2 linked regions of the Neodiprion lecontei genome follow. The protein of the gene in region 2 purifies or fractionates together with the protein of the main gene of each other region. This does not show direct contact. Links are inferred from orthologs where the notes say so. Each region holds a gene or a part of one and is shown on either strand. Other genes may lie near its edges.

Region 1 (3,755 bases), on a different chromosome or scaffold from region 2:
TGGTAGATGGCCCAGTAGGGAGGGAAATGTAACACGTAGGTAAACTATTTAATATAATTTTACAAACGTGTATTATTGAACAGAAGATGGCTATGTTGAAACTTGTACAATCTGCTTTATTCGCGTCGGCGTCAAACAAGCTTGTGCAAGCAAATTTTAACTGCACCACAAAGAGTATGTTGTGATAGAGGGGCGGGATTTACTCCGTTCGGCAATTTGATCAATTGTGCTAAATTTTTCGCCTACAGGAGGTGCATCGGACTACAGTCATAATCTATGACTATGGTAGCACAAAAATAAGCTTTTCACGAACGAACACAGAAGCAGCGCCATGTTTTCATGATTCAAAAATTGAATTATGTAAAACGATAATCGAGATACCAAGATAAGTTTCCACAATATAATCACTTTAGTTGTGTTATTAACCCTGTAACTCGTCATAAGTGGTATAAAGTAAAGATTGAATTAATTTGCTTTATGCCAATTACAGGGTAGAAAAATTCAGAATTGATGAGCCGCGTAGACTTAAAATCTTTGGGATCGATGAATTATCGGAGACTCACTTTGATCTATCTCTAGACGATGTGTGATCTCGTGAATTTTTTCGTGATATTTCTCTAGATCTTCTAGAAGATCTGGAACGATCTTTTCCTTTGTCGTGCATCACTATGTGTGCACAGGATTTCATTTCGTGAATGTTATTTAAAACAAATCTAAATTTAATCACGTCGACTGAAGGCGTTACTGAAGGAGTGAAGATCATAACAAATAAAATCGAACAAACGACATTCAAACGAGGCATTCATTTACCAGCCGTGGATTAGGGGGCGCTCTTTTTTCCATTCAATTCAACCGTTTTTACGTCATGCGTTTGGTCAACAGTCCTTCTTGCCAAGGTTCGTGGCTGAGACGTAAAAAAAATTGAAATCATAACCTCAAAGAAGCGTCATTTCGAGTTCTTTTTGACGAGCATTAAATAATAACAGCATTGCGCGTTATTTATGGAAATAATAGAGCCGAGATTGCAAGGCTTGCGAAGTGTCAGTTTTCGAAGTCTGGTTTTTGTCGAGCTGTTTTTAGGGATTGTATGCAAAGAGGAAGAGCAGGCGGATTTTTGTAAACAAATATCTCTGAGAGTGAGTGATTGAAAAATTCTCAATTACTCAACGATCTTGTTGGCAGTTTCTTTTCTTTGAATTCAAAAAACGCATTGTTCGTCACCTGGATCTCGACATGTTTCGATCCATCTTCAATCCGATATGCGTCTATGATTATTAATTAGCTTGAGAATATCGAAGAATGAGTGAAACTGCTGTTACCAACGAAATGGTCGAACTAAATGGAGGGTCAGCGCAACCTGCCCTCAATGGAGAAGCTGAGAACAGTGAGTACCATCTGTAATAACACAGCGCTTTGAAAAATACCAGCCACCTGTGAATATTGAATTTCCGTACTACCAACATCTGACTTCACATTGTTCATGATTTTTTATCCTCCTTCTTCACAGACAAATCACCTGGAACTGTAGAAGACAAAGTTCCTGACTCTGGTGTAGATAGCGACCAAAAAAAAGGCCAAACTGCCGTCGTCGCCAGTAGCGGTACAGCTTCCGTTAGTAGGGGTAAAAAACGGAAAAAGGCTCCTCGTGATGCAACGGCACCCAAACAGCCACTGACTGGATATTTTCGGTGAGAATCTTTGACTTGCGCTGCCTACTCAGTTGTCTTTAGAAAGTCGGACACATTTCTTCTGGTTACTACGCAATAACCACTCAAACAATCTGCTGGCAAAGTTCAGTCGAAAGATGCTTTTACTTATTTTTGAATGGTGCCAAATTCTTTCTGTATCCTTCAGATTCTTGAACGATCGGCGAGAAAAGGTGAGGACTGAGAATCCTTCCATACCGTTTCCCGAGATTACTAAGATGCTAGCTGCGGAGTGGAGTTCACTACCGGTAGATCAGAAACAGGTGAGTTTTGAGAACCAAAAGTTGAACCTTGTTGACAACATTATTTTACAGCTAATTTCTGCAGCTTCCAGACTCTGAGGAAGATCATTTTTTTTGAACATTCATTCTGTGGTTGTTATAGCAATATCTAGATGCTGCTGAGCAGGACAAGGAACGTTACAACCGGGAGATCACTGACTACAAGCAAACTGAAGCATATCGTTTGTTTAGTGAAAAACAGAACAACGAGAAGCTCAGTGAGAATAAAAAAGAGAGAAACGGAACGGAACCAACCTTGGAACAAAATGTACGTATCATGCAGTACTGTCGTTAATTCAGTCTTTTTGAAATGACTTAATATTCTTTTTTAGGAAGTACAGCAAGAGAAGGATCACGATTTCTCTGGATTTGATATTCCAATTTTTACAGAAGAATTTTTGGATCATAACAAAGGTAATATCTCGAACATTTCAGCATATATTTATTGCATTATCCTAATACAAGACAATCCTCATATCAATTATTTTCCCTCAGCTTGCGAAGCTGAGTTGCGCCAGCTACGAAAAGCCACCTCCGATTATGAGGCTCAAAACGCAGTCCTTCAGCGCCATGTAGACAGTTTGCACGCTGCTGTCAATAGATTAGAGTCCGAAACAAGCCAGCAGCGTGCGACTAATCAATCGCTTCAGCGTCATCTCGACTCACTACGATCCCAATTAGCAGGGAGCTTTGCTACTATACCTTTACAAGGTAGTTTGATCCTAAAAAAAGATTATACAAACCATTGTGGCACCGCTTTCAGAACCTAATACTCCTGTACTGTAACCTTATCTATTTTCCCCATTGTTAGGCACTCACGACGGCGCTACCTTGCAGAATATCGACGGATATGTCGAGAGACTAGAATCTCTACTTAGCAGTAACGTAGATCCTGGACTGCGAAATACCGTTCGTGCCGCGGTATCACGCCTGGAGTTGATTGGATGACGGTCACCCCCTGTAACGACAACAGCAACGATCCCAATTACTACAAACTCTATAACGACCTTGAAACATCATCGCTCGCGTCATTCCCATCGAAAATGAGTTTATTGATGGAACTGAACCAAGTTGAACTCTATCAGTTTGGTAAAAATGATAAAAATCTTCCTATTCCTTGTTGAGTTGGAAGAAACGGAACTTCTGAGTAAAAGAATCGAGTCATGTAACCACTGTGGTAACGAGACACAGAGATACTGGGTGAAAATAAATCTAAATCATGAGAAGGACGTTCGACCACTTTATAAAAGAAGTGTGAGTAAACGCCCTATGTTGTATATAGCACTGCGAAAGTTCGCAATGATCATGTATTTGAATCGATAGCTTTAGATTAGCTCTTAAACGTACGTGTAAAGTGTAATTTAATTACTTGAGTTATGTAGAAGTGAGGGAGAAGAAAAAGTTATCTCTGAAACATTCAATTATTACTAGTATTTATATTTTGTTTTTTTTGTCTTCAATTTAATTAAACTTTCAGCTACGCAGCTCATTTTGGTTCAATTACTTGTTTCCCTTGAGGATTAAGTGTCGTATTATTTTTAACTGCAGTAATTACACGAAGCTGATTATCAAAATGGCTATAGATTTTATTTAATCTTACTTCGAATGATTGTATTATTCCATTTTGGTTTTCATAAATTGGCACGAAAAGGTTTTACTCTGAGAGTTATTATGGAATGTAAACTGCCAGAGATTTACAGAGTCTTGAGTATGATTTTGGGCTTAATCATTGTTAATTAAATGTGCAAATCATTAATATTGGTAGGAT
Region 2 (3,755 bases):
TACTGTGTTATTAGAATGGACTTCTATTAATTCTAAAGTCTTCAAGTATTAGAAGTGTAGTAGTTAGTTAATAGTTTACTGGTGAAAAATAGTGGTACTCTGTAATTCAGTATTAATACAAAAGGCCCCAATAACCTCACAATAGGTATAGTATCAAAGACCAGCCGAAGTTATTCTTAAAAGTTCAGCTGACTGTCGTTCTAGACTTCGCTGGAACAAAATATTTTGAGGCAAAATTCTGGTGTGAAAGGCAACCAAGTAAATACGTCAAATTTCCAGTAAAGCTAATATAGTATCCATTTCAATTTGTCAAATGGTTCCTACCGTGACTGTTAAATAAACTGAAAAACATACTGAAAGTCTGTACGGCAAGTTGTTTCAAGGTATTATCGGTCAATTAGGAACACGAATTAGTACTTCCCTCGGGTTGATCCGAAGGTCGGAAGCCTATTATAAGGGGATAATATGGAGTCAGAAAAAATGTGTAACTAGTAGCAGGCATCGAAATCTTGCAATCGATACGTACACCATTAGAAATGTGACGCGTTAATTATTATTGCAGAATCTAGTGGATATTTACTAAGATTGCGCTGGTTACGGTACAAAAATTGTAGGATGCGTTTTGACCGATAATCTACTCAATTACATAAGCTTCAGTGATTATTGAAAATTCATGTACCGGTGATAAAGAATTAGTTCTGAAATATGTATCAAGCCTGATTGTTGTACATTCTTTAACTTCTCTATTACAAGATAGTAAATTGATGAATATTACGAGTAATGTTTTACGTTGTAAAAATATAAATACATTTGCACTGTGACGTAATAATTTTTTTCAGGTAGGTACAGAATATTAAGAATTATCTTGAGTGCTCAATCATCTATAAATCGTAAGAAATTCCAATCGATATTGTTCTTAATCGATGAACGGAGAATCAGGAATTTGAAAATCAGCGCCGTAGGACAAAATTCGTAGACGTTCGTTATGGCGGATATCTATAAATGTACCACCTGCGCAGAAGAGAGGCGCGTCGATATGCGCAACTTCATCAAAGTGTATTGGTCCAGGACAATTCGTGCTTTAAGTTCCGAGGGGTATTACCTGTGGGCTGCGAGCTACAGTCAGGTTGTAAAGATAAAAGTGAGGGGTGCGTTTCGAAGCTTTTTTTTGTCGAATGTTCCGATTGACAGCTGCAAATCTTGACAGAATTTTATACTCTAGCTAACGCAAATAAATCACACTATTAGCGCAGAAAAGAGGTTGTGCAGTTGAGTTACGGCGATCATGTCTCAAGACGACGATGTAGGATTTTTATACAAAACAATGAGTGAGTACCTGTTCTAGACCTGCGTCTGTTATTGTCAATGATCCAGGCAATCTGCAATGTGTACGAACGTGTCTATAGTTCATTCACCATACATTCATTATAGTTGTGATACGTCGTGTTATTGCTTCGAAATTTAAATAGACGACAGCATTTAGAGAACGTGGTTTATTATCCACGCAACCGTATATTGCGTTTTATAACTCGCTATCGAGTGTGCGAATGATCTGTAATTGAAGGTATCAAAATACAATCGAACTATTATCTTATTTACAAGGAGTAACGTTACTTTTTGGAATCGTGTAGAATGGTGTCAACGCGAGCTGGGAATAAATCGAAATAGGGTGGCGATTTAAGTTTCCAAAAATAATTGCATACGCGGATAACTATAGAACGATCAAAAACGCGAACGGCAAATCATTTCGCACGTAAATTTCGGGTGCACAACGTGTGGCGTCAACCGGCGTTTTGCGAAGTCAATGAACGCAGCGTGACATGTGCCGGTAAACGATGGCGATACGCACGCATGAATGTCGGATCGTGGTATGCATGCATCACAGAGTTTGATACGTGCACAGAAACACGCACACTGTCACATAGCGTGCGAAACGCGTGAGGGGTGGTGATTCTACGACAAGTCTTGACAGCAGTGGGGGGGATATTTAGGGATTTAGGGATTCAGGGGAAAATCTGCCTCGATACATAAACCGGAGTGCGAAGTGGGAACCACCGCCAAGCCAAGCATTCGGGCTATGAATCGTGTAAAACGGGGTGGCAGATGAAAGAGAAATTATTATTCTCGGCGCGTTATTTTTGCTCCGATTCCCATTGAATGTGATATCGGTATAGTGTCAGGTCCGTTTTTAAACACGATGAGTAGTTCATGTGAGTATTCCAGCATTAAAGTCCGACACATAACCTATACTAACCTTTTTCCTTGCGTGCTCAAATTTTTTGGTGTCATTTTACGATAATGTCGTTTGTTTTCACGACGTGGAAATCAGGTAGAATAACTAGAAAAAATATCCAACTTGTATCCGTATTCATCAATTTTTCAATTCTTTCTCCAAAGTTGAACGTGATCCAAAGAAAAGACGAGTCAAACCCGTCGATTCGGCCCAACAATCATTGCTTGATTTCGATTTGGGCGAGAGTTCGGATGACAGCGATTTCAGAATCGAAGATCATTGTGAGGAGTCAGACGACGATTCCGTTGACTCTCACGATGTTGGAAAAGGTAGGCAAAGCTACATATTTTCAACTTTAGAACAACGCAAAAGTGTTTAGGACAACTGCTAATCTTTTACTTCCTCTTCTTCAGATGAAGACGACGATGAATCAGAAGAGACCGATGATTCTCTCGAAGAACCTTTGGTTCGCGGAAAAGGGATTGGTGGGATGACGGTCTGTGATGTGATTGAACAAGCACGGCAACAAGCTGCCAAAGCTGGCCAATTCGATGAAAAAGTTGCTAAAGTTTTGATCTGTTGCGGTTGTTTGGGAGACAGAAGCGACGATATTAATGAAATTGTTGAGTGCGATGGATGTGGGGTCACTGTTCACGAAGGTAATTATTAACTTGTATTTATTTTATAGGTATCAATAGGTACCAGACTTTATTACACATCTTTGACACTTTAAACGAACCATAAATGTTTGAAATCTAACAAGAATTAATAGATATGTCTGAGCATTGTTTGCTCTGAATTGCATGAAAGCGTGAGCCACATTATGACTGGACGGATTGATCATTACTACTACGAATTTTTTATCCTCCACACAGGCTGCTATGGCGTTTCCGATGTTGAGAGCTTTTCTAGCACCGATTCACTTTGCCAGTCAGCACCATGGTTCTGCGAAGCTTGTAGTGCTGGTGTTGACGATCCTTCGTGTGAACTCTGCCCCAATAAAGGTGGAATTTTCAAAGAGACCGACGTCGGGAAATGGGTTCATCTTGTATGCGCCTTGTACGTTCCTGGGGTTGCTTTTGGAGAGGTAAGACACTGTCTTGTCATTTATACCAATGATAGATTAAGGAGCATAGTGTTTTAGATCTACACATTGTGTAGTAGATAGTTTTAATGCAAAGTTCTATAGTAAAATATATAAACTTTGATATTCCGCGCTATTGAACAAAATTTTGTTACTTAAATGCAATGCAGATATAAAAAATTTCGAAAAATTCTGATTCTTTCCAGTGTTTCAGTGTAAGAACCCTTGAATTTGTTGAGTGTAATTATTTTAAATCTTTGTTTCCATCTTGATTGGCATTGAAATTATTGTCAGTATTAAATAATCAGGAGATTCGTATCAATCATGTGATTAAAATAGGTGGACCGTCTGGCAAGTGTAACATTGTTTGAAATGGCATACAGCAAATGGGGAGCGAAGCAGTGCTGCTTGTGCGAAGACGCTCGCTATGCTCGAACT

The links. Proteins that work in one complex are often made in the same cells at the same time.
Region 1: the proteins of PHD finger protein 14 (region 2) and high mobility group protein 20A purify together in Homo sapiens (affinity purification with mass spectrometry; 3 studies listed by BioGRID and IntAct, counting the BioPlex papers as one, with this or other methods). This does not show direct contact. The link is inferred for Neodiprion lecontei from reciprocal best matches to the Homo sapiens genes PHF14 and HMG20A.

What each region holds. Positions count from the first base shown.
Region 1 is NC_060263.1:14,866,030-14,869,784, forward strand, and holds high mobility group protein 20A, read left to right. Parts: upstream 1-710; 5' UTR 711-1,299; coding exon 1,300-1,384; intron 1,385-1,507; coding exon 1,508-1,688; intron 1,689-1,854; coding exon 1,855-1,969; intron 1,970-2,090; coding exon 2,091-2,255; intron 2,256-2,319; coding exon 2,320-2,401; intron 2,402-2,482; coding exon 2,483-2,698; intron 2,699-2,798; coding exon 2,799-2,935; 3' UTR 2,936-3,471; downstream 3,472-3,755. UniProt on the Homo sapiens protein: Plays a role in neuronal differentiation as chromatin-associated protein. Acts as inhibitor of HMG20B. Overcomes the repressive effects of the neuronal silencer REST and induces the activation of neuronal-specific genes.
Region 2 is NC_060262.1:25,242,863-25,246,617, reverse strand, and holds the start of PHD finger protein 14, read left to right. Parts: upstream 1-1,094; 5' UTR 1,095-1,285; coding exon 1,286-1,328; intron 1,329-2,043; exon of another isoform or gene 2,044-2,197; coding exon of another isoform or gene 2,198-2,210; intron 2,211-2,397; coding exon 2,398-2,562; intron 2,563-2,646; coding exon 2,647-2,892; intron 2,893-3,108; coding exon 3,109-3,320; intron 3,321-3,656; coding exon 3,657-3,755. UniProt on the Homo sapiens protein: Histone-binding protein. Binds preferentially to unmodified histone H3 but can also bind to a lesser extent to histone H3 trimethylated at 'Lys-9' (H3K9me3) as well as to histone H3 monomethylated at 'Lys-27' (H3K27ac) and trimethylated at 'Lys-27' (H3K27me3).